5 linked regions of the Tribolium castaneum genome follow. The protein of the gene in region 1 purifies or fractionates together with the protein of each later gene. This does not show direct contact. Links are inferred from orthologs where the notes say so. Each region holds a gene or a part of one and is shown on either strand. Other genes may lie near its edges.

What was found.
Region 2: the proteins of brm (region 1) and Snr1 purify together in Drosophila melanogaster (affinity purification with western blotting; 7 studies listed by BioGRID, with this or other methods). This does not show direct contact. The link is inferred for Tribolium castaneum from reciprocal best matches to the Drosophila melanogaster genes brm and Snr1.
Region 3: the proteins of brm (region 1) and polybromo purify together in Drosophila melanogaster (affinity purification with western blotting; 3 studies listed by BioGRID, with this or other methods). This does not show direct contact. The link is inferred for Tribolium castaneum from reciprocal best matches to the Drosophila melanogaster genes brm and polybromo.
Region 4: the proteins of brm (region 1) and Bap111 purify together in Drosophila melanogaster (affinity purification with western blotting; 6 studies listed by BioGRID, with this or other methods). This does not show direct contact. The link is inferred for Tribolium castaneum from reciprocal best matches to the Drosophila melanogaster genes brm and Bap111.
Region 5: the proteins of brm (region 1) and Bap60 purify together in Drosophila melanogaster (affinity purification with western blotting; 8 studies listed by BioGRID, with this or other methods). This does not show direct contact. The link is inferred for Tribolium castaneum from reciprocal best matches to the Drosophila melanogaster genes brm and Bap60.

What each region holds. Positions count from the first base shown.
Region 1 is NC_087400.1:7,721,548-7,727,997, forward strand, and holds the start of brm (ATP-dependent helicase brm), read right to left. Parts: upstream 3,999-6,450; 5' UTR 3,889-3,998; exon of another isoform or gene 3,843-3,888; 5' UTR 3,756-3,842; intron 3,279-3,755; 5' UTR 3,275-3,278; coding exon 2,735-3,274; intron 1,421-2,734; exon of another isoform or gene 1,363-1,420; coding exon of another isoform or gene 1,214-1,362; intron 1,169-1,213; coding exon of another isoform or gene 1,017-1,168; intron 969-1,016; coding exon of another isoform or gene 863-968; intron 1-862. Other genes in the region: uncharacterized protein LOC100141828, read left to right, coding at 863-968, 1,017-1,168, 1,214-1,362; uncharacterized protein LOC103314458, read left to right, coding at 4,031-4,309, 4,359-4,778, 4,825-4,959; kynurenine formamidase, read right to left, coding at 5,682-6,135, 6,185-6,404, 6,448-6,450. UniProt on the Drosophila melanogaster protein: Transcriptional regulator. Acts as a coactivator, assisting one or more dedicated transcriptional activators of ANTC and BXC homeotic gene clusters. Can counteract the repressive effect of Polycomb protein.
Region 2 is NC_087401.1:13,704,271-13,710,589, forward strand, and holds Snr1 (SWI/SNF-related matrix-associated actin-dependent regulator of chromatin subfamily B member 1), read right to left. Parts: upstream 4,071-6,319; 5' UTR 3,845-4,070; coding exon 3,573-3,844; intron 3,526-3,572; coding exon 3,218-3,525; intron 1,157-3,217; coding exon 621-1,156; 3' UTR 543-620; downstream 1-542. Other genes in the region: PIG-L (N-acetylglucosaminyl-phosphatidylinositol de-N-acetylase), read left to right, coding at 5,519-5,837, 5,881-6,265.
Region 3 is NC_087397.1:6,257,585-6,263,930, forward strand, and holds the start of polybromo (protein polybromo-1), read left to right. Parts: upstream 1-2,038; 5' UTR 2,039-2,180; intron 2,181-2,487; exon of another isoform or gene 2,488-2,509; 5' UTR 2,510-2,513; coding exon 2,514-2,639; intron 2,640-2,688; coding exon 2,689-2,999; intron 3,000-3,048; coding exon 3,049-3,487; intron 3,488-3,533; coding exon 3,534-3,710; intron 3,711-3,756; coding exon 3,757-4,047; intron 4,048-4,096; coding exon 4,097-4,192; intron 4,193-4,360; coding exon 4,361-4,531; intron 4,532-4,577; coding exon 4,578-4,885; intron 4,886-4,924; coding exon 4,925-5,063; intron 5,064-5,170; coding exon 5,171-5,544; intron 5,545-5,591; coding exon 5,592-6,256; intron 6,257-6,301; coding exon 6,302-6,346. Other genes in the region: Fdx1 (adrenodoxin-like protein 1, mitochondrial), read left to right, coding at 170-254, 307-358, 406-751; thioredoxin domain-containing protein, read right to left, coding at 822-981, 1,029-1,154, 1,202-1,363, 1,411-1,549, 1,602-1,787, 1,835-1,973.
Region 4 is NC_087402.1:570,362-576,784, reverse strand, and holds the start of Bap111 (SWI/SNF-related matrix-associated actin-dependent regulator of chromatin subfamily E member 1), read right to left. Parts: upstream 3,428-6,423; 5' UTR 3,314-3,427; coding exon 3,253-3,313; intron 2,905-3,252; coding exon 2,860-2,904; intron 2,812-2,859; exon of another isoform or gene 2,551-2,811; intron 2,473-2,550; coding exon 2,432-2,472; intron 1,173-2,431; exon of another isoform or gene 1,067-1,172; intron 1,006-1,066; exon of another isoform or gene 727-1,005; intron 699-726; coding exon 609-698; intron 546-608; exon of another isoform or gene 492-545; coding exon of another isoform or gene 381-491; intron 219-380; coding exon 12-218; intron 1-11.
Region 5 is NC_087395.1:25,851,408-25,857,531, forward strand, and holds Bap60 (brahma-associated protein of 60 kDa), read right to left. Parts: upstream 3,134-6,124; 5' UTR 2,917-3,133; coding exon 2,803-2,916; intron 2,756-2,802; coding exon 2,589-2,755; intron 2,501-2,588; coding exon 1,435-2,500; intron 1,386-1,434; coding exon 1,230-1,385; 3' UTR 1,149-1,229; downstream 1-1,148. Other genes in the region: Khc (kinesin heavy chain), read left to right, coding at 1-176, 228-229; fibroblast growth factor receptor substrate 3, read left to right, coding at 3,580-4,205, 4,454-4,913. UniProt on the Drosophila melanogaster protein: Involved in the recruitment and site-specific anchoring of the Brahma complex at specific promoter sites.

The sequences.
Region 1 (6,450 bases):
TGTAAAAAAAAGACCAATGTATTATTTTATTGCTTAAGAATGCCCTCCTTTTAAATCGTTTTGTAACTGCAAGTAATATGTTATCGCTGTTGATTTGTTATACCTCAGTTTTTTATTTCCTTATTTCTCCATTGTAAATTTCTGTCATTTTTATTTAATAATTTCTGGTCAAAATTTTATAAAAATTTATATCTAGATGACATTTCTAGGTATGCATTTTACGCGAAAAATTCATTTTCACAATAAAATCAAAACGTGAAGTACTATAAATGCCATTTTGACATTAGTATATCAAAATGTATTGTTTTTCATAGCACGCTACATTAGTATCCAGGAGATTTGTGTGCATTTTTCATAAAAACCGAATTATCTTCTTAACTATCAACTTTTGAAAAAAACTAAAAAGGCAAAAAAGATGTAAAATGAGACGCTGAATAATAATTAGTAATAAAATACAGGAGATGTTATTTAAAAAAATAAAGTTATGGTCCTTCAAAATTTACCTCAGACATTTGTTTACCTACGGACGAAGTCCCAACTTAGTATCCCAAAAACCAAAGGCACTACGATTTTTTAATAATGTGCCTGCATACGCACAAAATTGTAAAAAAAATGAAAAAATGAATGGTCAAAGCAAATTGCAAAAACTAAACTAATTTATAATGCCTAAAAAGTGCACATTTAAATATGTATAAATATACAGGGTGTGCCATTTAAGAAAATTATGTTAAATCCTGTATGTTTGGTAGGTGTAATTTGACATTGTAAAGTTTTAATATTGAAGCTCGAAGCGAAGCTGAGAGTTCTAATAAAACTTGTTACATCAGTTGATACATTCTGCCAAAGTTCAATTTTGCTTCAGATATCCAAAAATCGGTCCTCAACTACGAGCTATCCTTGGCCCGGTCCGAAAAACACCGCGAGTTATACATGTACAGACTGACCCACTTGATTGCGGTGATCCAGGGGTACCAACCCTCCCAATAAATTACTTTTATTAATTAACTTATTGGTAGAATACGTTCGATGGGTTCGGCCGCTTTGGGGCTGTGTTACGTGGCGCGGGGCTCAATGGACGCCTACCAGTGCGATGGGTTGTACCCATGGGACGCCGCTGCCGGGGTTTTGATAGTAACGGAGGCCGGTGGGGCTGTCGGCGACTCCACTTGTAATAAATTTTTTTGTTGTGTTTTTTCCCTAATTTCTGTTTCAGGGGGTAAAGAGTTCGATCTCATGAAACCGAATTTCATAGCAGCGGCCTCAAAGCCCCTTTTGGATCAGTTCCTTCAAGTCGAAAAACGTGCCGATGACGAAAGATTGGCTGCACTGCTGGTTAAGAAGGCCAATGTTGGATGCAAATAGTTTTTTTTATTAGTTGTAATTATAATTATGCAATAAACTTAAGGAAATTGGTTCGGCATCAATTGTTTTATTGTAAATAGATAAATAAAGGTGGCCTTGGATTACACTGTCAAGGAAATCGCTGTGAAATTTTTTTGAAGTATTCATGCAATCTGAAAAGCAAATTGTTGGTAATTTATGACAATTTGACGATAATTTATTAATTAGAAAAACGGTCAAAATAAAAACAAATATACCAGTAGTTAACGTGTCACTATTATAATTAGATAACTATCATTAAAATAGCCATTTGCTTGACTTGTTGGCCATGAGAAATAATAAAAGGTGCACATTTTGATTGATTTATATTGTTATTATTTTCTAAGAAACATTTCTCGAAAATATCAAATGCAATTATTAATAATCCATTCAAGATATTGTAGCTTGTTTTTTTAATTCGCCCCATTGTTGTCTATCTTATAACTTTAAACATAATTTTTTATTACATTAGAAACGAAACCTCTCTCTGAGTTAACTAGAATTCTAAAAAAATCCTAGGTGATTTGATTCATGTAAAAAAGGAAAAAATAGCGCATAAAATTCATATCTTTGTTACTGACCAACATAACGGTTTAATTTTTATAAATTCTACATTTTGATACCATAACAACATTAATAACGCCAGTGTTTTTTAGAAAATGTAGCCATTTTAAATATTTTTAATGACAATCCACACTTTTGAATAGTACATTACTTTATTATCTTTCTGATAATAATAATAATAATAAAAGAGTTAAAACAAATCGAATAAAGTACAGTCAAACAAAATGAAAATGACGCCTCACTAAACCAGCCCCTGTTATCAATGCAATTTTAGTTTATTTCAAAAATAGAATTTTCAAAGTTTACTCTGACAGCACTAAAATTTGATTAGTGATTGTTCATATCAGCGACCAATTTTGCTATTTTATTTTACTAGTACATAATGAGGCTCATTATGGCCGCTACAAGGTGACATAAAGCTTCTAATTATGAACAGTCGAAGATAAAACATTTTTATAATTATTAATTACGCATAAAAGACTTTACCTTTTATTATAACCTACATTAAAAAGAGCGATATTTTCTTATACTGGTGCTTTTTTGTTAAAATGTAGTATTAAAAAATCATAAATATGGCATAATAAGAATATGTACTTTTTACAGATTGTTAGTACTTGCAAATAAAGCTATTATTACTTACTATCACGGCTATATTTAAAGATAAAAAGCGACTTTTTGGCTCAAGACCAAATATTTTTGATATATAGAATCCTAACGTTGAAAAAAATGGAATATTCAAATTAAAATAAAGAAGGCCTCCCGCATTTTAACTGTCATTTCATCTCATTACCTGTCCTTGCTGCGGATGCCCCCCCATGGGCATGGAATGTCCCGGATAGGGCTGCCCTTGCTGCATATTATGCGCGGGGCCCATATGCGGCGGTGCCCCCGGCTGCATGGGATGCCCTTGCGGGGGCGGCGGCCCGCCATGCGGATGCCCCTGCGGGGGCGGCCCCCCTGGCTGCATCTGCATGGGAGGCCCTTGGGGATGTCCCTGCTGGGGCGGCGGCCCGCCCATATGGTGTCCTTGCGGGGGCGGATGTCCCTGGTGATTCGGGGGCCCTTGCGGCGGCATGCCCGGATGCGGGGGCATATTCGGGTGCGGCTGCGGGGGCATGTGATGCCCCGGGTTCGGCTGCATCTGCACCATGTTGGGGGCATTCGGGGGCATGGAATGTGGGGGCGGCCCGTTCACGTGGCCCATCGGAGGCGGCCCTTGGTACGGGCTGTGGGGCGACGGGGGCGGCGCAGGGCTCTGAATCGGCGGGCCCATGGGGCTGGGCGCCTGCGGCGGCGGCATGGGGCTGCTCTGGGGCGAAGGACTCGCCATTTTTCTAAAAAAACAAAAAAAAATAATAAAAACGTGTTTTCTTCATTTGTTTCGAATTGGCCAATCAGGTGGCGTGATTTGTTGTTATTGTCCTTTTTTGTGCTACCATTATTATTTAACTCAAAATGTCAAAAAGTACGCCTACTTGATTTTTTAACTTTTTGTCAGTTTTTTCGAAAATCAAAAAACAAAAAACCGTCCCAAATTCAAAGTTATGGAATAGCAGACGTTGATTGGCCCACTTCACGTCATTTAAACCGCCTTTTACCCGCACTTGAAGGTTACGCGTGAGCATCGAACCGGTAGTGTTTCCCTTAATTAACATCAGAAAACCCAGGTAAGTGAAAAATACGCTAAAAAACTACGTAAAATTTGGAAAAAACGCTAATTCATACAGTTAGTAACAGATCGGAGAAATTACAATGCAATGACCTAAGACTATCCCTCTTATCCGGTCGGTTTTCCCACATAAATGACCTACCTACGTTGCACAAACACTAGTCAGAGTTTTTCCAAACAGAGCACTACGTTTTCCTCATTTTCCCTACTTTGGAAAAGCACTGAAAAGCTAACAATTTTGAGTTAAAAGGCTGAAATCACAGACGCCATTTTACCATCGACTCAACGCTCTAGATCTAGAAGCTTTCTTTCTTTTCGTTTATTTCTATCGCACTTTTCCCATTGGCTAAAAAGAGATGGCGTTGTTGTTACAGGTGGCGCTTTGCACAACCGGCGCGGGGAATTTGAATTGTGGAGATGGAGGAAAATTTATCATTCATAATTGAGTGCTTGAAAGAGCGCAATTATCCCCAAATACACGAAATGGAGGAGTGCAAAATTTGTGACATTTTCTCCACCCCCAACAGATCGTTTCTCGTGTCGTGGATTCTGCAACAAATCAATGTTCGTTTTGCTGAGATTTGTGCGAACGCAGATAAAGAAAAATTAGCAGAAATAATCTACTGTCACGGATTTTGTGATGATGCTAAGGAAAGCCTTCAATTCATGAACGGCGAGTGTGACCTCAGCAAACAAGTATTGATTTAAAGTACACCCTTATCAATCCAATATACTCGATTTTCAGTTTTTCATCATGAGCAAAATGTTTAAAGCTTTAGAAACTGTTCCCGAAACCATAACTTCCGATGTCAACAACTACGATGATTTGATGAACTTTGATTCGAATTTGTTCCCAACTTACGGATCAAAACAAACCCTAACTCTCAGTCAACGTGCCGCCAAAATTCAAGAATATCGCAAGGAAATCGCTGATCTAAAGGCAATTCTCAACTCACGAAACCAAAATCAAAGCCTTTCAATTGATTCGAATTTGAAGCAGCAACTGGAAGATTCGACTCAACAACTCGAAGACAATTTTCTCGAATTTAAGAGCAATGTTCAACGTTTGTTGGTAAACCACAAGGAACCGAATGAAATTAATTTTCCAGAAGATGCCTCGGAAGTAATTGAATCGTGCTGTAAAAATTCCGAGCGGCTCCTTAAGGTAATTTATTGTGGGTTTTAGGATAATGTTTTATTGGTTGTTTCAGTTTATGAAGAGTTTGAACACTATTGTCAGTTTTAAGAGAGAAAATTTGGAAAATGTTGAAAAAAAGAGAAATGGAAATTATGAAATGTTAAAAGAGCTCGCAGAATTGTGTAGGGAAATCAAAAGCTTGAAATAAAATATTTTGTACTTTGTATTTTTCTAATAAGTTTTGTGATTATTACGAAACTGTCTTGTCCTTAAAAAATAATAACATTTACAAGTATTTATTAGTTTAGATAAGTTGCGGTTATGCAACCAACTATGACTGTTTTTTTATGAATGGAAATAAAAATCATAAACTATTTTGAAACAAATTGTGTTTTTTTTTATCGAGCGAAAAATTGAAACAATTTTAATACAGCGTGTTAGGGAATGGTTTAGCAAAAATTTAAAGGCAGATAGAAAATGGCAAAACAAATCGATTTAGCAAAATTTATGTCAATCAAAAATGTATAGTTTTTCCAAAAAATCGTTCTGAAATTAAAGTCACAAATTTTGAGAACCGCTAAGCTAGAATTATAAAAATTAGCGTCAATTTTAATATTATTGACTAAACAGCCTAAGTAAATTAACTTATTGGTCGACTACGTTATTTGTTTATTTCAATTTGTGTTGTGTTACTAAATTTTACAAAAAAAATACAAATTTTTTTGCCAGGACCGGGATTCGAACCTTCCACACATGTGGGAACTGAACATGGTAGCCACAATTTTGAAAAATTATATAAGGGTGATATAAGGGTTTCTAACTCGTCTAATCATGGCAAATTCACATACGAAATATTGCTAAGCCATTTCCTAACAGCCTGTATAATAAATTTAAAAAAATGGTTATGCAACCCAATATACGTTTTTACGCCTATTCATCGGGATTGTGTATTTGCACCAAAATCAACTTGGTGACCTCAAAATTCTCATCCACCAGCCTTTCAACCACATCAAAATGGTCCACATCTTCGACATTCGTCCATTTTGTGACCACGCCGCCATTTCGCAGTTTCTCATCAAACATTTTGGCCTGTTTTTGAAACTCAGGACTATCATTTCTGGCCGAAATCACATGAAACTTAGTTGTTACTCCTTTCACTACATTTTGCAACAAGGGGCTCAACTTCTCAGCTTCACTTTGGCTCAGTTTCAAGGGTTCATTAACACAAGTTTTGGGTAGTTCCCTCAAATCGTAAATTCCAGCAATGAGAAAAACTGATTTGATCATGTTCCGCTCCTCGTTTGAGAGACTTATTGGGGCCAAGTTTGTATACAACGCGGCTACAAGATGGGCCCCAGCTGAATATCCCGCCAAGTAAAAGCCCCTAAAACACCCAAAATGTATAAACTCAAGGAAACTTGTTGCAATCGTACTTGGAGCCATTTTCGTGCGCATATTTGAGACACTGTTTAGTAGCGAGTGTTATTTCAGTGATAATTTGGTCCAGAGTGACTTTGGGGCACAACTCGTAGCCCACAAACATTGATTTGATGCCATTTTTGTGCAAAATGGGGGCCAGGAAGTGGTAAGTGGAACGGTTCAAGTACTCTTTCTGCCAATAGCCCCCATGGACGAAACCCACAATTGGGGCTTCTAAAAACTTGTTATTTGGGGCCTGGCTTAGTTAAATTCATACCAT
Region 2 (6,319 bases), on another chromosome or scaffold:
CTTCTAATAATTATAATACAGAAATGTATATAAGAATTTAGAAGCCATTTTCCAACTTAGCGGAAGTTTGCTTTAGACGATTTAATTATTTCACCATATCTCTGAATCTAGTGGGCCGAGCTAATTTTACATGACAGATTCAGATTCTCCAGATCAAAGCACATAATCAAGTTACAATGTTTAAGAATAGAAAAAATTATTTACAAACTTTGAGACCAATTTCCAACAGATAAAATAAAAATTTCTTAATCAATTAGATTAAGCCTTAGGTTATTTCAAAATTTCACCGCATTTCGTAATTTAGTGAACGCCGCAAACCAAATTTAAGTGACAAATTCAAATTCCCCAGATGCATAAAATAATTATTTTCAAAAATAAAAAAATTATTTGAAACGTTCTTACACTGCACCGGAAAAAATAAATTGGTGATGTAGCAGTGGACGTATTTCCGGAGGGAAATGGAGGAAAAAACGTGATACAAAGGATCCGGAATAAAGGATTATTTAGCGATATTTTTACACAAAATACACATTGAAACCGTCTCCATTTCCATCCATTTATTAATCACTCAAGATAAAATTCATATATTTTTTTTGGTAAATACTTAAAACCAACCTTGTTCACCACCCTGGAGTCGTATTCGCCAGCCGCCGAATCCTCCTCGTATTCCTGTCCTGATCCCTGATCTTCTTCTCCATTTCGGCGTCGGTGAGCGTTTCCAGAAAGGGGGCCCACTGGTCGCTCTCGCTGGGCGTCCTGAAGGGCACCTCCACCGTGGGCAAGGGGGCCTCGCTGTAGGCGTAGGTCCTCTGGTGCCAGGACAGTTGTCCTCTGATCGAATACGCAATCGCTGTGACAAATTCCCCACCCAGACCCAATTCCGAGCAAAGAGTCAATGCGAATTCTTCCGGATTGTTTTGTTTCTCGGACATGTCCCATTCGACTTGGTCGACTAACGAGGTGTTACCCACGTGTATGTTCAGTTTGATGATGACACGTTGGTCCGAACCTTCCTCGATTATTCCTGAAGGTTCGGCCGGGAATGCGTCTAATTGTTGGCGGATTGCTTGCGCTATGGCGGGGACGAAGGTCAGGGGGTTGAGGTCTAGGTCGTCGCAGAGGACTTCGGCGAATTGTTCGGGGGTGATGAGACTCTCTAAATTGTGATATGATTTTTGTTAATGCTAATAATTTGCATAAACTGAATCGAGTTGCGAGATATACGTTGTCAATAACTATATAAGTGACTAAAGTTACGTTTGCTGATTTTTTTGATATTGAAAAAAAAACCAAAAACTAGTCGCTCAAAAGCACCAAACATTATTTTTTATACAATTTTTTTTTATTTTTTTTATTTTAAAAAATCGTCTCTCAAAAATACCCAACGGTTGTTTTGTATTTTCGTCTTGTTAAATTTTTTTTATAAAAGTTTAACAGTTGGTAATTGAAACCCTAAATATAATTTCTAATATCCCGATTTCAACAAATATAAAAATAATAAAAATAAAAAAACTACGAAACTAACAACAATGCACAAAATATTGTGTAATTAAAAAAAATACTCTGTTGATGATGAAGGATGACAGTCAAATACATGTTCGAACTAAAAAACAAAAAGACAGAAGAAAAAACGAAACTTCTGAAAAAAAAAAAAAGTTTTTTTTTTCTTGAGTTGGTATTTACTTGGTCTAAACTTTAAATTAGGTCGGCTATAGATAAAAACAAAGGTTTGGGACTTGGGCCCACTCTACAATTATCAAATAACAAAAATGGGAGAATAAAACACTTTTATTATTATTAAATTTCTCAAAAATAAGCCGAAAAGTCACTAACCTGCGTCAAAAATGGTGATAATTTTGCATTTTTTGGGAGTTTTATCACCATTTTAAACTTAAAACTCAATTATTTTACATTTTTGAGCGTGTTTAGTACATTTTTCAACAGAAATACAGTTGGTTAGAATAATTAATAAATAATAATATATTAAATAGACTGAAAAAGCACCTCAATTTTTATTTAAATTGGCTTTTTGACAAAATTCTTCAAAACAATGGAGATTTTCGCTCAAAAACTTACTTACTTACTTAATGAAAAAGGCAAGAAAAATATGAAAGTAAATTTTTCGGCGCATTTTAATGCAATTTCGTATAAAAACAAAGCTAGATTATTTTAAGAAATTAAGCTGTTAAAAAAAACATTACATTTGATTAATTCTGTCACGAAACTTTGCAGTTCCTGGCTCCAAAACAAATAAACCTACCAGAAATTCTTAAAACTAGGACGTCAATTTTATCTCAATTTGCTTATTTTTGACAAAATTTTACAAAAAAGTCAGTTTCTCGCTAAAAAAAATAAATCTAACGACAAAAACTAAAATAATGTCGAACCAACCGTAACTTTCGATATATTTAGATATTTTTCGGGGTATTTAATAAAAAAAAAGTTTTCAAAAAAGAGAAAACATTGTCAAAATGACATAAGTTTTGACATATTTAGATGATTTTTCGGTGCATTTTCACGAAATGTGTCCAAATCACTACTGAAGAAAACGTCAATTTCGACCTAATTTAGTCATTTTTTGACAAAACTTTCAAGAACAAGTAAGTCTCATACTCAAAAACAAGATAAGTTTAATAAAAAAAAGGCAAAATAATCTGGAAATAACGCTATTACTCAACATATTTAGATGATTTTTTAGCGTTTTTATGAAGTTTTGCTTCAACAAAAAAGCAAAGTCACTTTAAAGAAAACATACACTTTAATCTAATTGGAACTGTTTTTAAAGAGTGTCAAATTCAGGTCATTTTCGACATATTTAGATGATCTTTTGACGTGTTTTAATTAAATTAAACTCAAAAAAAGTTATAAATCATATTAAAAGTGTTTAAAAATGCGTTTTATCAAAAAATTTATCATTTACTACAAGTTTGTAGTTAATAATCAGGACCCAGTATCAACAATATGGTGTCAATTTAGATAACAGATGTAACCTTAGTTACTAGACTACAGTCATTGCCAACATATTTTTCTCGTATCACGCAATCTTGATTAGTTTAAATGACTGGTGGCAGGTTTAAAAATTATTCAAGAATTAAATTTCAGATCAAAATGCGCTAATAAGTATTCGAAAATAAGTTGATAAGAATAAATAATGTAAAAGTTACAACTTTATTTCAAATGCAGAGCGTACTGTGATTAGAAAAACCCAAAAAATTACCGTTTTTATTCCACGTGAAAGTGTCTCTCAGCTTCTGCCCCTCAATTTCCATATCCAGCCTTATCGGGACCAACAACTCCCCTTGTGCCGCATTTTGCATATTCAGCTCTGGATCAGTATCATCAAAACATAACGGAAACGTCCGAACTTTCTTCGCCGCCACTCTGTTCCGATTAATCGGGGTGGCTTGGGGCACAGCGTCCAAATGACTGGAGTTTGGGAGTGAGGGCACCCATTGCATCGACTTCTTCGATTTACTCTCCCTCGGCATCGGCGGGTCCGAAGTGTGCACCGAAACAGCCTTATACCTAAATAATCAACAAATAACAACAAAACCCCCAAAAAACAAACCAACTTTTCGTCATTTCCCTCAATGATATCCTCGACTTCCGAGGCCCGAAGCAGTGAGACACTGCTGGCCAGAACGTGCTGGCTCAAGCCCAGCTCGATGAGGCGTTTGCGTTCCTCGTTTGTGATTGACCTGCGGTACATTCCGGGGTATTTCTTGTAGAGGGAACCCCGGAACAGGCGCAGGTAGTTCCCCACCTCGGAGCCCACACAGTAATACTCCCCATTTTCCTCCAATTGGAAAGTTATCGGTTTTTCACCGAATGTTCGGAGGGCCATTTTGCCGCGTCCTTTAACACTGTGAGGTTAGGTGACACCAACAAATGTCAACAGGGCACTCAAATGGAAAATACGGGCATAAATTACACAAAGCAAGGACACGATTCACATTATTTCGTTTGGTTTTGCACGAGATGGTACTTGGGGTTAATTAATTCAAACAATTCGTAAAAAAACACTTTTGGTGGCTAGTCTAATTGACAAAACTGAAATCACCAGAAATGCATTAACTAGGCGTCCTCTGGTGACGACATGTCGTACTTGCCGAAAACAGTAACAAGTTTTGGTAATTGCTCATTTAATGGATTATTTAGCAATTCTGCGTGTGTACTGTTAATTTTTTACATTAGAGAGAGTCAATTTAAAATTATATGCCGGTAAATACTAGTGTTGCCTTTGGTTTTGCGTTTTTTCGTGATTATAAAGTGTTTTATGTTGGACTTTGATAAAAAAGTGAAAAAGATTTTTGATTACAAAGAGTTATTTAATCTATTGCGTAATCAAAAACTGTTAAGTATTGGGTCATTTACGGCGATTTACACACTACTGTTCCTTTCGGCATTGTATTGAGATCTCCGGATAATTTTATTGACTTAAAAGATATAAATATTGAAAGAAAGTGTTATTTGTGATAATTGAAGTAATTTGTTTAAGGAGATACTGTAATGAATCACTAATAACCAATAATAATCCATTTAAATAATCACACAAAAATCAGCGTTTGTGATTTTTTTTGCTTTATTTCTTTCTGTAAGCCTTCGAATTTTATCAGATTTTTTCTACAATTTCTTATAAATAATAAATATTAATTAATGAGAAATATTTATATTAATAAAATATTATTTTATTTAAAAAAAACTAAAAACATTAACTAATGGAAATTTTTATGATTTATAGAACAAGCGATGCTTGCAGAATGTTTTGTACAAAAAAAAATATGTAAAAAAATAAGTGTTCTACAAACGACTTGTTATTTACAGAAATACAATTTCTTTATTTGTTAATGCTTTTGAAGATACGTTCGATGAATAAGTAGATGTGGTTTATAATTATAAACCTAGTGTTTTCAAAGATATGAAATTACGATTCTCTTGTTTTTCTAAAGATGTCTTGTTCTCATTTTTTGATATCCAACGGTTTTATAACGTGAGATTTCTGAATTTTATTTATTTTATTTAGTTATAGTTCATTAAACATTCATAAAAGATATAGGACTGCAATAGCTAAATGGAAAAAATTGAGGAACAGCGAAATAATTTTGGAAACATGTTAATTTTAACCAGCTGAGTCAATTGTGCCGCCCGACGTCACACCTAGAGAGACTTTGAGGTCTCATAACTTTTTTATTTTTACGAACATAAAAAAATGAAAAGTACCATTAGTTTTACAATTATGAAGACTATTAGTGGTATTAATTTAAAAATGTAAAATTCTAGAAACGTGAATGTTTCTAGAAATGTCTTTTCTGTCGTTGATTTTCTGTTGGTGACCAGAATTCCCGCTTGGGAATGCTAGTGACAGATAAAAATCCCTAGAAATGGGGACGTCAACCTAACCTCAAAATTATGCCCTGTGCCAATTTCTCCGCCAGAAAATCTAAAAATACCGCAAATGCTCGGTAAATCTATTTCGAGCGTGACTTCATGACTGAGATGAGCCAAGCAGCGCCTTGGCATGAGTCTAGGTTTCGAATCGTTGGTGTCCCTCGTCTCAGCCTCTTGGAAGAATCTAACCGTTCGAGTCCAGGAATACACGAAAGAAACCGTGGAGCATTTAATCGTAGCCGTGTCCGTGTACATCATAGTATGCGTGTTTTTGTACCTTTCCATCTCTCGCTGGAAGATAATCCACTTCAAAAAAGACGTAAAAAACCCCCATCGTGTTTTACTAGTAATCGCACATCCTGACGACGAATGCATGTTTTTTGGCCCCACTGTTTTGAACTTCACCAAACAGAACCAATGTAAAGTGTTCCTGATGTGTCTTTCGACAGGTTTGAGACCCGCTCATTTTTCGGGCGTAATCACTCGTTTCAGGGCAAAATTACGGACTGGGGAAAACCCGCAAACAGGAATTGTACAAATCGTGTCGCATGCTGGGCATTGACGATAGCTGTATCACGGTGTGCAACCACACGAACTTGCCCGATCAAATGGGGGCCAAATGGCCGATTGAATTGGTCGCTAAATTGATTTTAAACCACGTGGAGACCTACAGCATTGACACGCTTGTCACCTTTGATAAACACGGAGTTAGCTATCATCTCAATCACTGCAGTATTTACTACGCGATCGCTCATCTCAGCATTGAGAAAAAATTGCCCAAGGAATGTTCTGTTTATGTTCTAGAGACTGTTAATTTGTTGAGGAAGTATTGGCTCCTGTTGGATATTCCCGTCTCGTTTCTTTTGTCCAGGATAAGGTGAGGGCGTTTTTAATGATGCATCAAGTTGGCATGCACCGGGTGACTACTAAA
Region 3 (6,346 bases), on another chromosome or scaffold:
GTGAAAATGAAAATTCTGGCATTCGGAACTATTTGCAACACTGCGGAAGGAATGACAGGCAATAAAATCCCTATTAACCAATCAAGTCCTGTGATTGGCCGAAGGCGAATTATCGACCAATCACGAGACGACTTCGTCCTCGTAGTAACTTTTGAAAGTTACTGTCAAAATGACAGCTTTTGTGCGAATTTTAGGTTATACAAAGCCCAGTTTTTCAATAAAAACTTTATTTCGTAAGATTTATACGACAGCGAGTGAGTACCATCAGAAATTACAATTAATAAGTAACCAATTGTCTTTAATTAGAGTTAAATCACGGTGAATACGAATGGCAGGATCCCAAATCCCCCGATGAAGTGTAACAGTTCGCGCGGTTATATTACGTAAAATACACATTTTTTTCAGTGTTAACATAACTTTTGTTACAAAAGACGGTGAAAAGGTCCCTGTAAAGGGCAAAGTAGGTGATAATGTCCTATACTTGGCTCACAGATACAAAATTCCCATGGAAGGGGCCTGTGAGGCCTCCCTAGCATGTACCACTTGTCACGTTTATGTGAAAAGTGATCACGAACTTACGCCAGCTGAGGAAAAAGAAGAGGATTTGTTAGACATGGCGCCGTTTCTTAAAGAAAACTCTAGGTTAGGTTGTCAGATTATTTTAACCAAAGAATTAGAAGGGCTTGAGTTAGAATTGCCACAAGCAACGAGGAACTTTTACGTTGATGGCCACACACCAGCGCCTCATTAACCTTCTATTGTGTAAATAACGAGTTATGAAGTCAGCCACCAATTTATTTTAATAAAAAAGTGTTAAAAATTTATTTGTCTTTCTTGCTTGTCGGTTTTTGCGGCTTTTCAGTCTTACGACATTTCATTAAAATTATCAACAAGAAACCAACAACAGTCGCCGCTAAACCAATTTTCCACGCCATTGCGCTTTCCTTCAAATTAAGTACGATATTTTCGACAATATTATCACTGAAAAATTCCATTATAACACAAGAAGATAAATTGCAATTGCTTACAATGGCGTTTTAGGCGATGGTACTTTAATGGGAGTCACGTTTTTGTACCATTCTTGGGCAAAAGAAGTGAAAGACGCAACGTCGTACTTTTGGATTTGATATTTATACATTTTGCCTTGTCTGAAGCTAAAAAAATGTGTGAGAATTGAAACAAAATTGAGAAGTCAATTTACAGAATAAAAGTTGGGGCTTGGGAGACTCCAAATCGTGTGGCGGTAGCGGCCCCATCTGTCGCCTTATTGACTCGTGCGACGTTCATTCGTGTTTTTAATTGTGCCCCGACTGTCTCCCACCGGGCTTGAAGGCGGTGGCAATCGACACAGTCTGGGGTATAACTTTGAAAAAATTAAACAAAAATCTACAACCATTTAAAAAGACTTACAACATCACAAACCAGTCGCCTGTGGTAGCCCCACTGGCGGCCTGGGTTAAGTGTTCAAAAGTCTCATCGTTTAATTCCTTCACCACCGGTTCTTTATTGTTAACAAATGTGTGAAGAATTAGCTCTTCTGAAGGAATATCTAAAGCAAAATAAATGCGAATAAAATTGATTACGGTTAAATGTAGCAATACCATTATAAAGTAGAGGAATTCCATGTCTGAAAAACACCAAAACCGGCTCCTTCGTGGGGCTATACAGTCTTGTTAACTGGCTGTTAACGACTTTAACAGTCTCTCCTTCAAATGATTTAGAGAACTCTTCCTCCAAATTTGTTAAAATGTTTTCGAAGTTATCACAAAGTTCGCAATTTTTCGCAGCTGGAATTTTCGTTCAATCTTGATAGGAACGCAAAGTGGGGACTTACAAAACAGCGCAACCACATAAGTCTCACTTCTGATTAAGTTCATGAGATCATCATCCTGGATTGATTTTATTGCACCACAGTTACAAAAACTATTGAAAATAACGGACAGACACGACAAAATATACAAAAACCTACTCATTTTAGCTCAATAACCTCACATAACCCAAAACATTCAACAACACGAAAATCCCCCAGAATTGTCAACCATCAGCCATTTTGTTGACGAGTGATGCCGGTTTTTATTATCGATTTATGATTTGTGCACAAATGTGAAGTGCAAGGGTTTATTTGCAAAAACGGTGTGTTTTTGTGGACTTTTCCTTGTGTGATGATCAACTGAATCCAGGTTTGTCCAATTGCAACCATAATTAGCAGTTGTTTCATGATATTTGCCCAATTAGTGTAAGGCCATGACTGTATTAATTTTTACGGCCATTGATTGTGTTTTTCAATAATAAAAAATCAATTAACGAGATTTGACAATCGTACATTGTCAATAAGCTATTTCTGGCGCGTGTTTATGGTTACCGACGTCCGTGGTATTCCGTTTAGCGTTTGTTTACGACGTCATTTGACACAACAATTGGCGCTCATTTGAATTAAGACTTCTGTAATTTGATTTCTGTACGATTCACTACTTTAGTTAAATGTAGCCTTGGTTGAAAACCTTTTCAGCATAATGAGTAAAAGGCGTCGAACGAGTTCTATAGCCAGTAGGGGGCAAGAAGACGATTCTTTGGATAGTCTGGAGGCTTCGACTAGTACAGGACCTACGATGCGAAAGCGCAGCAAAAAACTAGATCCTGTAACAGGAAATTGCGAGTTTGTTCCACATTGTGACGCCTTGTTTTTAGATGGAACTTTGTCAACAATTGTACGATTCAATCCGCAATCACAAAAAAGACGACGGGACTCTTCTCTGCGATTCGTTTATTCGAGTACCGAAACGTAGACAAGAGCCCGGCTATTATGAGGTTGTTTCAAACCCGATCGATTTGTTGAAAGTGCAACAAAAACTGAAAACTGAGGAATATGAGGATATCGAGGATTTGCAGAACGATATCGAGTTAATTGTCAATAACACGAAAGCTTTCTATAAAAAGAATTCGCAGGAGTATCGCGACGCCATAGATTTGTGGGCCTTGTTTCTCTCTAACAAACACAAGTGAGTCCCGTTTTTAAATTAATTAACACTTAGCCATGTCTCAATTCAGACTACTTAATACCAAAGACGATGAACCCGAACCTAAGGGAAAAATCGTGTTAAAAGTCGGAAGACCGAGCAAAAAAGCCGGCACTCCGGTCGAAACCAAAGAACCTGAGCACTCTGAGGACACTTCAGAGAGTTCGAATTTCGACGACGATGTCAATTTATACGAGGAGCTGTTCACTTCAGTCATGACAGCGACCGATAATGAAAATCGGCCACTTCACACTTCTTTCCAGCTAATTCCCTCGAAGAAAAAATATCCCGAGTATTACGAAGTGATCGAACAACCCATCGATCTAAAAATGATTGCCACCAAAATCCAAACTAACGACTATTGCAGCTTGGCCGAGCTCGAGAAAGACTTGATGTTAATGTGCAAAAACGCCTGTTTGTTTAACGAACCCGGTTCGCAGATTTACAAAAACGCGAAAGCGCTGAAAAAGGTGAGAGCCGGGTTGTTTGTACCATTGACCCTTCAGTATTTTGTAGATAATTCAAAGTAAAAAAGCCGAGCTGGATCACATTAAATTAAGTTTGGGTAAAAGCAGCGAACGCATTAGGAATAAACGGTTAAGGGGCAGTACATCGCTATCTGCGGTCACTGCAGCCCTAAGGGACGACGAGTCGGACGCTGAGGTGGAACCAGAGGAACAGATGGACGATGAAGTAGCAAATCAAAGTGCAAAGTCGTTTTTTCAATGAATTGTTTCAGTCAATTGCTGATCCTCTTGATGTCGAAGATCCCCAGTGGCAATTGTTCGAGGCTGTGCGTTCAGTGACGAGTAATAGCGGAGTTTCCTTGAGCGAACCCTTCTGGAAATTGCCCTCGAAACGTTTCTATCCAGACTATTACCGCGAGATCAAAAACCCAGTCTCTTTGACTCAAATCAAACGAAAACTGACCAAGCACGCTTATGGCACCATAAGCGAAGTGGCCGGTGACATGACCATAATGTTTGAGAATGCGAAAAAGTATAACCTGCCGTCGTCAAGGTTGTATAAAGTGAGTTTGGTAACGTTTTCAACGTGAAATTTGAGCGAGTTTGTTCCAGGACGCTGTCAAGTTGCAAAAGGTCATGCAAATGAAAGTGCAAGAACTACTTGACATTGATCAGGTAACATACAGAGTCACTAACAAAAACCGGAAGGTATGCTACTGCACTGCTTATGTCTTCATTGCATTTATTAACTGTCGGGAGTTATTCATTTTGTGGGCGCTTACGTTGCTAACATCAGTCGGCTTGTTTCACTATTTTCCTAATCAGGCGTTTGAGTTGATGGTAATTGTTTAAATTTTTGTCTTTTTCAATCTTCAGGATACAGACAGTGAGGCAGATTCCGAAGTCGTTGTGCGCAAAAAGCCAGGACCTAAGCCAAAAAATACGCAATCGAGTGGCAGCACGCCACAAAGAGGGCGTCCACCGCGAGACCCAATCCCGCTAAAAAAACGTTTGCACGCTTTAGCGAAATATATGCTCGACTATACTGTCAGTTACACGTTTTGCAATTTTTTTTCTATTAGCCATTTTTCAGTGTGAGGATGGCCGAAAGCCCATGCTCGGCTTTATGGAAAAACCCTCGAAAAAATTGTATTCGGAATATTACGAAGTCATTTCGGAACCGATCGATTTCCTCGAAATTGAGCAAAAAATTCGCGCCGATCAGTACAGCTCCGAGAGTGACTTAGTCAAAGATTTTAAGCTCATGTTTTCGAACTGCCGACAGTTTAACGAGGAAAATTCGCCAATTTACGAGGATTCCCTCGTTTTGGAAAAACATCTGTTGGATAAAGTTGGGCATAGTGTCACTCCGGAAAAGAAGGAAAAAACCGTAGTCAGAGTGTACGTTTCCGGCTGAAAAATAAAAAAATAACAGTTTAGTTGCAGTGTTAAACCGCGCAAAATTCTCTCGCCGGTTGAAAAAAACCTAAGAACTTTGTACGACGCGATCAGGGATTATCGGGAAGCTAAAGCCAACCGACAGTTATCGCTGATTTTCATGAAGTTGCCGTCGAAAATAGTAATTTGCATTTTTTAGTTCAGTCGTAAAGTGTCGGTGATTGGGAACAAATCACAGACATTGGTTACGACTGGACTTGTTTGGCTCGCTTTAAGCCCCGTTTTTAGGACTATCCCGACTATTACGAGGTGATCAAGAACCCGATAGACATGGAAAAAATTTCACAAAAGCTGAAAAGCAACTCGTACGAGACCCTCGACGACTTGGTCTCCGATTTCATCCTAATGTTCGACAACGCGTGCAAATACAACGAGCCCGATTCCCAGATTTACAAAGACGCCTTGGTCCTTCAAACTGTATGTCTCCAAACCAAGCTTCAACTGAAAGAGGACGACGATACGGTTCCCGACGTCTCGGCGGCTGTCCAGGACATACTTTTGAACCTCTTCACCAACGTTTACAACCACCAGGACGCGGAGGAACGGTGCTATTCAGATTCGTTGGCTGACTTGCCCGAACACGATGAAATCGACGGCAAAAAGTAAACTTTTGCGACTTGTAAACTTTGAGTAATTATTTCGGCTTTAGGGTGCGAGCGGTGTCTTTGGACTTGATCAAAAGACGGCTTGATCGCGGTTTGTACAAAAGGCTAGACACGTTCCAAGACGATGTTTTCGCGTGCTTGGACCGAGCGAGGCGTTTGTCGCGTTCCGATTCACAAGTTTTTGAAGACTCGATCGAACTGCAGTCCTATTTTATTAAGCAAAGAGACGAGTTGTGCAAAAATGGGGAGTTGTTGCAATCGCCGGCTTTGAACTACACTCTCATGGACCTAAGCTCAGCTGTTGAGTCTTTGAGACAGAGCAAGTTGTTAGAAGAGTCACTAGAGGAGGAGACAGAGACTCGTAGTTCCGATGATTCCATTATCAAAGAAACTAACATGAATGTTGGGGAATCGTTGACTTGCAATCAACAGACTTTCAAAGTCGGGGAATTCGTCTATTTGGACTCGAAGGAGAAGGGTTGCGACCCCCATATTTTACTAATCGAGCGTTTGTGGACAAACAACGGCCAGCAAATGCTCTACGGGAACTATTACTTGAGACCTGCGGAAACGTTTCACGTAACGACGAGAAAATTCCTCGAAAAGGAGGTTTTCAAGTCGGACACACACATTGCCGTACCCTTGGAAGAGGTCAAAGAGCGCTGTTGTGTCCTCAGCACCAAACAATACTTCACCATGAAACCCGAAGGTGAATGAAACCAAAACAATACGAAAAATTCAAGCCGCTTTTCAGGTTACGATGAGAAAGATGTGTACGTTTGCGAGTCACGGTACAGCA
Region 4 (6,423 bases), on another chromosome or scaffold:
TAGAAACCAACCTTTTCAGCTTCGTATTCCTCAACAAATTCGTTTTTTTCTTCCTCGGGGAGATCCCTCCACATTTGCCCGATAATTCGTCCAATTTCCCATAATTTCAAATCGGGATTTTGTGCTTTAACCGTATCCCAAACCTTTCGACTGTATCTCATGTAGGGCATGAGAGGCTTTTCGGGCGCTTTGGGGGGCTTAGGAGTACGCGAATCATTCTACAAAGAAAAAATAATGTTGTTTTCTCCATGAAACTTTTATTCACTTTTATTCATAAGAAATGCCAAAAGAAATAATTAAATATTTTTGTATTAATCTTGTAGTTCTCAAAATGGAAGCCTCTAACTGATTTGTTTCGAGGTTAAAAAGCTAAAACTTACCTGGACGTAGTAGTAATTATAACTACTTTTGTACTGATTGTAATTGCTATTATTGTAATAATAATAAAAAGGATTGTAATCGTAATAGAAATTGTTAGCGTAGTGCTGCATCACGCTTAAATTGTAGGGAAAAGAACAATTTTTAGATACGTAAATATTATTTGTTCTAGATAAAGTGAGAATTATCAGTAGATAAGTTGGGTTTGTGAGAAAGATAGAAATACTTACCGACGAACTCTTTCCCACTTTTTGTGGTAAAAACCCAGGATGGCCATTCGGCGTTGTTACAAACGGACTTGTTTCTTTCTGTAAAAATAACTGCAGGATTTATTGACCTGTATTTTACGTAACTTGAAGTAGAGTTCCTATATTGGGAGAGTTGGGACACTGAATGTCGATTTTCGAAATTTTGTTTCATATACGTCGGTTGGAATGTATAAAAAAACAAATTGGGATAGAAATCAGTGGTGTTACACTTGAAATTTGGCGAAAAGTCAAATAAATTTGTCAAAAAATGTCTCCATTTTTCGTCGACTAACTGCGTTTAGAAATGGTTTAGACTGGCAGTCGTCGTCAATTCACTGTTTTTTTTATATAAACTCCAAATTTTAAAAGAGATTTCTTTGTAAGTACAAGAATTTTACGTCTAAATTCTTCATCATAAACATTTTTTCCTTAATTTTAAGAAATGGTAATCATCGATGAAAGAGAGAGAAACTGAACCTTTCCTGCCAAGTTTTACGTTTATTATTAACAAGCATTTGGAAAAGTGGATTGTCGAAATAATGTTATGTACAAAATTTATGAGATTTTGGGAATTTGTCTATGCATTTACAAAAGACGTAGGTACTTGAACCCAAAATTGGTTCTAATTTTTAGGAAAGTTGAACCTGTTACTGCTTGGCCGCCATCTACGTGAACTTTAGCTACTGTTTCAAATTATAAAGTTATTGGGAATTCACGATGTTGTTACGTTTTTCATACGAGAACATCTTCAATATCATTTTTTAGAAAATTTAAAAAGACGTCAGGAAATATGAAGGGTTCTTGATGACCAATTTTTGGGACGAGATGTTTAACTAAAAATTGTGATTGAAAGAAAAGCATTTTTAGCATTGAAGTATGTTTTAAGTTATGTATTTAATATTAAAATAAATATTGAAAAATTTCAGAAATGTGAACATTAATATTGATAGGTATTCAATTATTTTCTTTTTTTAAATAGTAATCCCAAAATTTCTACGTTTTCTACGTCCCTGATTTAATTTGACGTAAAATTATGTCATTTTATGCATTTGACAAAAATTATAACCTTGAAATTATTTTCAACATAAACCTCTGACATAAGTTACTAACAAAAATTTTAATAAAAAAGGATAGAAATATATACCTTATCCACATAATACAAAATTGGCTCGGTTTGACGTTCAGTGTCCCAACTCTCCCAATATAGGAACTCTAACTTGAAGAACAAATAGCCATAGAAACCCGATTTTGGGAAACTTTACTAACCAGGAAAACTCGAAAGAAATTTCTTTTGTTAAAAAAGTAAATATTTATTATTTAAGCAAGACTTTTACAGTCAGGAAATCAGATCGAAATTGATATTTTATTTATTTCACTCAATTTTACAGGTTTTTCTGTCAAAAATAAAGCAAAAAAATATAAATTGATTGAACACAGTAGTTTTATATAAATTCTCGATTATCTGTTTCAGATTTTATTAAAAATGATCGAAAAAATCACGAAATCGGATCAGAATAACATTACGATTTTGTCTTTTTTTTAATCATATACAATTTTTTCTCAAATTTTTGTAAAAAATGTGCTCAAAATCAAAAAACAGTTTGAAAAATTACTACATTAAGACAATATTTACATAATTTTTTTTAATGTTTTTATGTGTTTCACTAAGTCACTGAGATCTCAGAATTATTGCTTTTAATTTTCCTGCAGTAGGAATTAATAAAAAATGTACAAAATAATTTCTTTATCTTCCCAAGAATCCTTCTCTACAGATAAGAAACAACCCAAAAAAAATTAAAACTTACATTTGATCCAGATCCGGACCCTCCAGACGCTCTCAAACGCTCTAGAATAAAAATTATTTTTCATTTCGATTTTACCTCAAACGAAACGTGCAACAATGACTCAAAACACCACTACTTACCTTAACTATTAAAAATGAGAGCAAATGAATGAAAAACCTTGTTAAAGTGCAACTACTATAAGTAATAAGCCTAGAGCAAAATTTAGCTAATTTAAATTCTACTGACATTCTCCGCCCTGACTACGAAATCGAGTTGGCAACATTTTTTGTTGCCACCAATTGGTCAAAAAAAAAGTAGAAAACTGTAATTACAGTTTTCTTCTTTTCCATTGAATTGATTGATGATGATGGAAAGAAGCAAAGCTTAATTATTTTAGAAGAATGTTTGAAACTTCTGTAAAATGTTAATAAAACGAAGATTGCAGTTACCTTTCAATATGTTGAAAGTCATGGGCACGCCTGCCGACAGCAAATCTGAACAACAAACACAAACAAAGCAATCATCAGCACTATTCTACAAAAAAAGAGTCTACTATGGTTTATAAATGCGGGTGTTAGTGGAAAAAATAATTTATAAACCATAGCATTTAGCTTAGAATAACCTAGTTCATGCTATTATGACTTGTCATCAATAATTCAAAAATAATAAATAGCGTCTTACAAAAATACTCATGCGAACGGCAAGCTCCTTTACTGGATTTTACTCGAACATTTTCAAAAACTAACTGGAAAATCTACAGCAATTCGCGTCAAATTATAGTAATAACGTCAGAATAATAGATATTATTTGGAAAAATGCATTTTCTTGCAACTTTGTCTTACGGTTTGTTTGAGGGCTAGGCATTTGCATCGCTACTTGCTTGTAATTGGCTGGAAGAGCCATTTTTTCACACACACACTAATTAAATTAGATCTAAAATTGAGATTCTTTTAAAATACACAACACTTTTTACACAAATGACGCCATGTTGACAACTGACAACGAATTGGAGAAAGATGCAAGTCGTTCTCTCTCTATTTTCCAGCAAAGCGCCACCTACGATACAAAAAGCGGAAAATTCAAACAATATTTTGTTTCCATTACAAAAAACCCATCAAAAAGCATTTACAAGAGTACAAAAAACACACCAAAGATTTGCCAGCTCAAAATCAAGCGATTTACTAAGCTGGGCCAAAGTTCAAAAATTATTTCCTATTTTTTTATTGCGATCAAAATCACACGTTTTAGTGCAATTTTTTTGTTTTTGATAATATAATTGGCGCCATATTTCAAAAAAAAAAAAATTCAAAATAATGTTAGAACTATTTTTTCTTTAATTCATAATTTCATCACCACCCGTGAGACATACAATATTTTATTTGATTTTGTTGACGCCAACGTGACGCTACGCAACTCCCTAAAAAATTCGAAAATTCCAATTCCATTAATGTTATTTGCTGAAAGAAATTACATGTCACACAAATGTACAATTTTGTAAATGTAATGCCACAATTGAGTTTGTCATTTTTTTGCCACTCTAATCAAATTTTCGAATTTTGTGATACACTGCCATCATTTCTGCGCATAATCAATACCGGTTGCCTGGATCCATCCAGTGAACGCCATAGCCCTTTGGAAAGCCGTCTTCAAGTAAAAAATTTCTCAAATAAATCAATTCGTGTTTTAATAGACAATGTAACTGTTTTATTTTTCGGTGCGATTTCAGTCTGAATGCTTGATGTGATATGAGGCCTAAAAAGTGAGTAATACTACCCTTTTCAAATCCCCAAGAAACTTAAACAACGACTGCAATTTTTCAATAAAGCAACGCGACAATTGAGATATTTTTAGAAACATAATCGGGCGATTTTTTAAAAGTATTTTTCATTCATTGTTGTACCGCGTGGTACATTTTTCGAACATAAATCGGGTACATTATCGTAGGTGGATGACGTATTCTAGTTCCAAATCAATAGCGTCGCGACGCTCACTGTGTGACTCAGTTTCGACTGAATTGTGATCCGGTTCATTTGGGTGCGAACGGACGGACTTTTCCTAATGTAATTTAGGTAAAAAAACACTCAATCACATATTTTTCTCGCGAAATACTACAATTTTCCAAAATTATGTTCCTTTGTAATTTGTAATAAAAAATCAAAAGACAAGTTAATGCAGAAATTTTAGGATCACTTGATAGCTCTTCAAGAAAGAATCAATCATAAATAAATAAAGTCCGAATTAATTATTAAAAAAATAAAAACAAGGAACTCCTACAATTCGGGAAAAATTTTAATAACAGTGGTAAAATTATTTTAAATCAATTTCAGTGCGTTTTTAATCTAATGTAAAAGGTGATGTTTTAAAATCGTCAGGCTCTATAGAATTTTTAGTTACGGCCCGATTTTAAAAATTAAAAAAGGTATTTAAACCGCTTTTAATGTAGTATAAGCTGGTGCTTTTAAAAATTTTCTAAATATCATAGTATATTTTGGGCTGTATTCCACTAGTTTCTTTTAAATTGTAATCTATATTTTTCTTTTTATAATTTGGTAGATATTATTTTTTATACTAAAAAATACTATTTAAAAAATTCACAAAATTAAAAAAAATAATAGTTAATCAAATCTAGTTGTATGATGTCAAGTAACAGCCGAGTGACAATTGTCAAATAAACGTCGTTAATAGCCAGAGCTTTAAAACTTTGTATACGATCTAAATTGACCATTTCTTCAAAATGGTTAAGCTTCCGAAACTACAAAAAATTTACGACAACTTTGAAATTTTAAATAATAACCATACATTTTTACTGCATTTTTGAATTCACCTTTTTAAACTGAGTAAAATTTATTTAAGTTGTTGGCACCTATCTGTCATAGTTTTAGACATATGTCAATTTTCTTGTTAAAATTTTCATTTACAGGAGTTTATTTAAAATATCACAGTTCTTAAACTCTTTATATTAAGTGAATAATTTTTTTGCATTCGATAACCAAAGGTTCGAAAACCTTTCTAGAATTTTCAAAATTGTCAACTGTCAAAATTCAAAGCTAGTATGATTTTTTCAAAATGGTTATCAAAAAACGGCTAAAACTCAATTTTTCAAATAGAACGACCCGATTTTCTTAACGGAAATCAAAAGATCATCGACTTTTATTAACAAGTCCTATACCTGTTTCTTACAGTTTTTGAAAAAAATCACAAAAAACAATTTTTTTTGTAATTTTCGTCGTGAGTTAAGTAGGCCATGCAAAATGGTCAACAATTGTCAAACTTCAACATTATATGTAATTTTTAGCTGATTTATTATCGATTAAACAGTAAAACAATAAGATTTAATAATAACTTAGTGAATTATGTAAAGTAACTCAGTCAGTCTGCCATCTTGTTTTCAACTTCTTGAATGAAAATGGTGGACAAATCGGACATTTCTTTTACTTAATAGCATTTTTTTGAAAGTTTACTGGATTAAAAATGAAAATAATGAGCCAAAATTCCGTTTTTTGCAATTATTACAAGAACTGTAAGAGATAAATATAGAAAAAAAATTCTTTTGATAATTTTCCTGACTGATTTATTTGAGGTAATTTTCAGAAGCCTCGATGAGACTTAGAGTAGATAATGCACAAGATAACAAAAGGCCTGAAAAAGAAGAAAAAGGGCAAAAAATCTAAGCACAAAGAAGAGGAGCTTTTCAAGCCGGAAGAACTCGAAGCATACCGTCGCGAACACCAAGAATCCGGCGCTTCTTCAGGTCAAAACGAAGAGTGGAAGAAATTCATCCAACTCACATCAGGCGTTGACGATATCTTAAAAAAAACCCAAGGCGACTTAGACCGCATCAAAAGCACTTCATTTTTTCAACGCGTTCCGCCACCCAGTCAAGTCAAAGAAGCAGCAGAGGCAGAAGAAGAAAAAGCAAAAGAAGCGGAACAACAAGTTGTTGAAGAAAACAAACAAACAGCCGAAACCAATCTTGGCATTGTTCAAGTCTCCGAATCCGAATCGGAAGAAGA
Region 5 (6,124 bases), on another chromosome or scaffold:
AAAGAACCTCGCTCGTCGCGGCCCTGCTGCAACAATTGCCAAGCCTATCAGGTCTGGCCAACATCATGTTGTTGTTGGTGGCGGCGCTGCGATCCGTACTGGGTCTAACATGGGCCAGAAAAACATGGAAATTGCGCGAAAACGCGAATCACTTATCATAAACGAGAAAGACGCATGTGAGTCTTGATTTAATTTTTTTCTCTAATTTCCTGAATTTTTCCTTCCAGAAACGGTGCTCTGATCACTGGGATACCAAAAATATTGCTGACTACTCGTACTACGTAAGCCGTGGAACAACACACGACTTACATTTTTGTGCTTACTTGCTTAGTTATCCTAGAATTAAGGTGCACTTATTGAGACGACAAATTGTTTCTTAGGTCGGTTTTTAGTGCAATTGCTAAGAAATAATTTGTGGGTTTTCCTGTCGCATGTCGCGCGCTATTATAATCATGGTGGTGTAATAACGATTCAAATTTTCCAGGCTTAAATCGTGTTTTGTAATATAAAAGTGGCATTATTTTAGGATTTTAGTTGTCTCTCCTCTTGATCAAATGGTCTAACTAGCACGTTTAGGTAATTAAGTAGCACATTTTACACAACTGGATTATTTGTATAGCCTGATTGATGTATTTTGTATAAATTTGTTTACGATTGATTGATTGCTTGTAGTGGTCTAAGTATATATTTTTTTAAAACGATTTTATTTTGTTGTTTTTCTCAATGGTGCAGGTCGGACGGTTGGCTTGACGGGCGCAAGTGCTAATCGCTCCGATGCAATCTAATTTCATTGTGATAAGTAGCAAAGTTTTGTTCTTCCGTCAAAGACCCGATTGGTGCACAATTGCATTTCTAATTTATTTGTTTTTGTTGACTGTAGATAATTGTTTAGTAACAGTCTTTGGTACAGCTGTCGTAGTTGTGTAACGAAACTGATAGTGGATGCTTGAGTCAATAATGCAATTTATTTATTTAAATGATGGAAATTATATTCTAATAAACTAATACAAATTTCCTGTTTGTTTCCCTCATTGTTGCCGAAAATTTTTCACCCTTATAGGAAAAAAATCACTGAATTTTTGAGGAAAAATTCTCCAGCCTTAGTGAGTTTGTTTTTGGTTATTTGGAGACATTTTAAGGAAAGTGACTTGAGTTAAAAATGCAGTTTATTTATTAAATGCTGGAAATTATATTCAAATAAACTAATACATATCTCGTGCTGGTTTCGCTCAATTGTTGCGAATGCCGAGTGCTTGCTCCAGTTCGGCCCTTTTTTGCTGCACCTTGGTGTAGAAATAGCGACACACGGCTTCTTGCGCCCACGGTTGGTAGAAAAAGTCGGACCTCCGCTCCTCTTCAGGATTGCCCACCACATCGGTCATACACTAGAACAAACGTGCGGAAAATGCCACTTTTCCACCCTAATACACTCACTTTCCATACCTTCAAATCCCTGGTTTGTGACACGATCCACTTGTAAATAAACTGTTGCGGATCTTTGGCAAAACTCAAGAAAAACTCACGATTTGTTTTCAATTGATTAATCGTATCGACAGTTTCGTGAATTTTCGCATCCAAACCTTGGATCTCCTGCTGACTAGCTGTGCTCAACAGGAAATTATTCATCTGAGTTTTGAGCGTATCGTCCACCTCCACGTCAATATCGTAGCAGGCGGTTTGCTTGCTTTCGGCCCCGCCCTCCACCGAGATCACGTGATTGATGACGATAGGGTCCGGTGGGTGGAGCAACGGGTTTAAACGTTGGGGGATTTCCGCAAATTTCATCCGAGGACACCCGAAGATCTGCTCGAGATATTTATCACACACGATGTATTCGCGTTCGTGGGCGTCTTGCAATCGGTGCGTTTTTATATACTGCCATAGGGCGGAGATGATAACGGGGCGTGTCTGCGTGTGCACGCCCAATAAACGGGCCAATCGCGGGTCGAGTTTGAATTGTAGCGGTTGGTAGTCGAGTAACAAAAGAATAGTGCACCGCACATTCTTATCCCCAGGTCTCTTGACCTGGAAACCGTCTGTTTCTTGAGTTGTTAAGGTACGGTGCCATTCCACCAAGTGGTTATCAGGACCGTACAACTCCTTATCGAGCTCAATCACCAACGATTTGAAAAATGACGAAAATTTGCGTTTGACTTTATTGGGGTCACTTTTCGAGTCGTCTAAAAGGCGGCCCTCGACTCGCAACTCCCAAGAGGCCACGGAGCCCTCTTGTCCAGGGCCGTCTGGGCCCTCGGCGCACGCCTCTTTGGCTGGATAAAACGTGTTAGAGATGAAAATCCTCAATTTGCGTTTTTGTTTCATTGGACGTTTTAACGCCTCTTGAATATCCAACCGTTTTCTCATTATGGTCGAGTCTAATTTACGCTCAAACGCGAGTAAATCCATGTAGGCCTGGCTTTCGGGCACCAAATCTCTGACTTTTTGGGGCAAAATCTTGTCGGAAAGCTTCTTCTTTTTCTTGGTTCCATGTGGGTAATCACTGCCAACAGCGTAAACGATTTTTTCGAACAAATACAAATATTTGAAATAAATAAAAATAACAATTCTGTATACTCCCAATTGCTTACCTCTTTTGCTGCATGACGGCCCTGTTGTCCGGGGGCCGTTTAACGCCCGGCTGGGGCGGCATGGGCCCCCCTCGCATGGGCGAATAGGGGGCTTGAGGGGGCCGCGGCATCATAGCGCCCGGCTGGGCCCCCATGTTCGGGGGCGGGGTGTTGTACCCTGTCCGTTGCTATAGTGCGAATTAGAAATAATTGGGTGGAAAATGGGGAAACTCACCGGAAAATTCTGGGCTGGGTACTGGCGCATTCCCGGATTTTGGGGCGGGTAACGCTGGGGTGGGGGCCCCCCGGGACCTTGGGGCGGCACGGGGCCCGCGAAACGCTGGGCCATGGCCTTTTATCACTTCTTAAGCACAAAAAACACACAGATGCGTCCCCAGTTGCCCAGTTTCGGTCTTGTGTGTTTGGTGGGTTTGGTGACGAAGGTGTGCGTGGACGAAATTGTTAATTTGATAAGGAATTATCAATAGTAAATGTGTGATTAAGAACGGTTTTGCGACCTTTGGGTTTATTGAATCAAAGTTTGGGAAAAAAATACGAAAAAGGTGTGAATTCACTATTAGGTTTTGTGAACATTGTGAGATTGTGACCAGTTGAGCTACTAGTAGGGGTACCAACACCGTTGTTTTTCCGTATTTTGTTTAAAAATTTTCAGAAAGGTTGTTGGGTTGTTTACGCGTGTTGTTGTGGGTGTTTTGGGGCCCGTGGGGTTGTTGCCGGTGGTCAAATGAATTTATTTTCGCATTTTTTGTGTTTGGTTGCCGGCCTGGTGACAGAAGAACCATGATGGCGTCGCTGTTTATTATGTGAGAACTTCACATAAAAATTGGTTAAAAAACCCCGAAAAACTCACAACAAAATGTAAAAACAGTAATTTTTGGTCAGAATGCCTGAAAAGCCACGTGTCCATGCAATCAAGCTTTGAGCCAAACCTAGTAAGTGCCCCCAACCAAATAACCTTGATGTTTATTTACCCCTTACTCCTAGGTAGAAAATGGGTTGTGTTAGCAGCAAGCCCGACATAAACGATCAACACCCGAACATTTTCGACGTATCCAACGTCAACGACCAAGGCGACTTGGTGAGCCCCGGCAAGCTCGAAGTCCGGGAAACTGAACTAGTCCTACACCAAAGAGGCAAAAACCCCACAGTGTGGCCCCTCAGGTCGCTGCGCAAGTACGGCTTCGACTCGGAAATTTTCAGTTTCGAGTGCGGTCGCAGGTGCCCCACTGGCCAAGGCATTTATGCGTTTAGGTGCCGCAAGGCTGAGCAACTTTTCAATATCGTCCAACATCACATTGTACGTAATTCCGACGAGAACCCCCTTATTAACGCCATTTCGGACTTTCCGGCCGTTTCCACGGGGCCCCCTGTGCAGCGACGCGCCCCGTCCCAGCCCGAGGGCTATCTCAATCCGGTGGGGGCCCCCAGGCCGAGTCTGAGCCGCCCTGGGTCCATCACCAGCAACGGCCCGGTGAGCCCCACGACGGCCGAGTCGACGCACGAACACAATAATAATAAGAGGGGCAGTTTGGGGGACCACCAGTACACCAATTCCAGTGTTATTACTGAGTTGGAGGCTCCCAATTATGCCAACTTAGGCGCCGCAGCCCCCGAGGGGTAAGTTGCTAAAGTCCCAGATTTATTTCATTTAGGGCGCTTTTACCGATTTTTTTTACACATTTTTGTCAGTTAGATTGAAATTTTGCTAAATAAACAGCTTTGCCAACTGTGCCACTTTTATATTTTTTTTCTTCGGTGAATAATTTATAATTTTCTGCCTTTAAATAATAATAAGTTGGTGATAAATTAAAAATTTTAATTTGGCAGTTTTGATTTAAATAAAAATAAAGTCACTGGGTATTTAGATGTGGGGAGGAGCTGCGCCCCCTTGTGGAGAGTCCGTGCCACCTGTACATGAATGTGGACACCGTTGGAACCAAAGACTCGGATCCTTCCGAGGACAACGCAAGACATTGCTACGCCAATATAGACACCAAAGATTTAGAACATTTAAGGCCGCTTTTGTCGGGGGCGGAGGCGCCAAGTGTGCCCCAAACGCCCACCGCGCTCTATTTGACTGTCCACGAAGTGAATTACGCTGAGCTGGACTTGGATCCGGTGAAAAGCGACGTTTCTACCTCTCAAGTGACGCCAGAAAGCCCCCACAAAGCGAAAAGTTACGCTACGATTGATTTTCAAAAAACTAACGCTCTCTCGCAATCGATAAATCCGCCAATGGAGGTCGAAGAAGGCAGCAGAAAGACTAGGCATAATTCTACAATTAGTGATGTTACGACTAGACATAGCAACTCGCTAAGTGACTAACACATCGAATTGTAAAATTTTGTGATTCTCATTGAGTTTTTTTTTGTTTGATGAGGTGACCAGTACGAAAATTTTGTTTTTTTAGTAGAGTAGTTGGAAAACATCGATTTTTTGGAATGGGTCATCTCGTTAAGTACTTGTGATTATCTACCAAAATGTTAAACTTGCCACCTTTTTTTTGTAAGGATACAAATTTACAAATGCCAAAGATATTTGATAGTTGTTAATGGTTTTAAGTAATGGAAATGAAAAATGACGTATTATTTTACTATATTATACATTGCGCAAAAAGTAATTAATTATAGAACAGTTGAATATATTATATTTAATTTTTAATAAACGATATTTTACAAATTACGAGTTTTATTCACCGCATTACTCATCTCGTTTAAGCCAATTGACCTTTGCTCTCACTTGGATTAATCTAATTTGGTCCAACTGACTGTCATAGAAATTTAGCGCCAAAAATATTACAGATTCCTGTAGTTTAGCAAAATTTTGGGATTAAAATCAACAAACTCAAGGTAAGTGAGTGTGTAATTGCGATTTCGCTTTAAAAACCTTCTTACCCGAATATCTGTAGCCCCAATTTCCGATAATTATTGGTAGAAAACTGGGGATTCCTAAATTCTAAAGTATGGGGTTGGCACTATTGTCAAATTTTACGTATTGGACGCTTCGTGTTCAATGACCGTGTAATCTTTATTTTTTTGCCGTTTTCTTTACAAAAATGAGTGTTTTCGTTGTTAATTTTCCAAAAACATTAACAATAATTGTGATTGAAAGTGACTGTAAGAACATTTCTCCTGGAACTACCCTGATCCCTGGAACTACCTTTTGGACGCTAAGGACTTCAGGTAGGACAAAAAATGGCATGGATTTGGTTTAAACGCCTTATTTTGCAAAAACATTGGTTGTTTTACCATTTGTGATAGTTGAGATCTCTTTAAAAAAATTAAATTTTTTTCTCGCGAAAGAACCTCTGCTGTCAATCGCATGGTGTATTTCTGGTTGCCTACACTCAAGACATTAAACAATTTAAACATTTGTATGTGTTTAAAGGCATTAATTTTACGAAAAATTGGTTTTTGCTAACATTTTTTAAGGTTGAGTATTTTTCTGCTGCAATTAATCTACAATTACAATTTTGTATTTTGTTATGCTGGCTGCCTATGATTTCCCAAATTTAATTTTTTTATGGTTTAAACTCA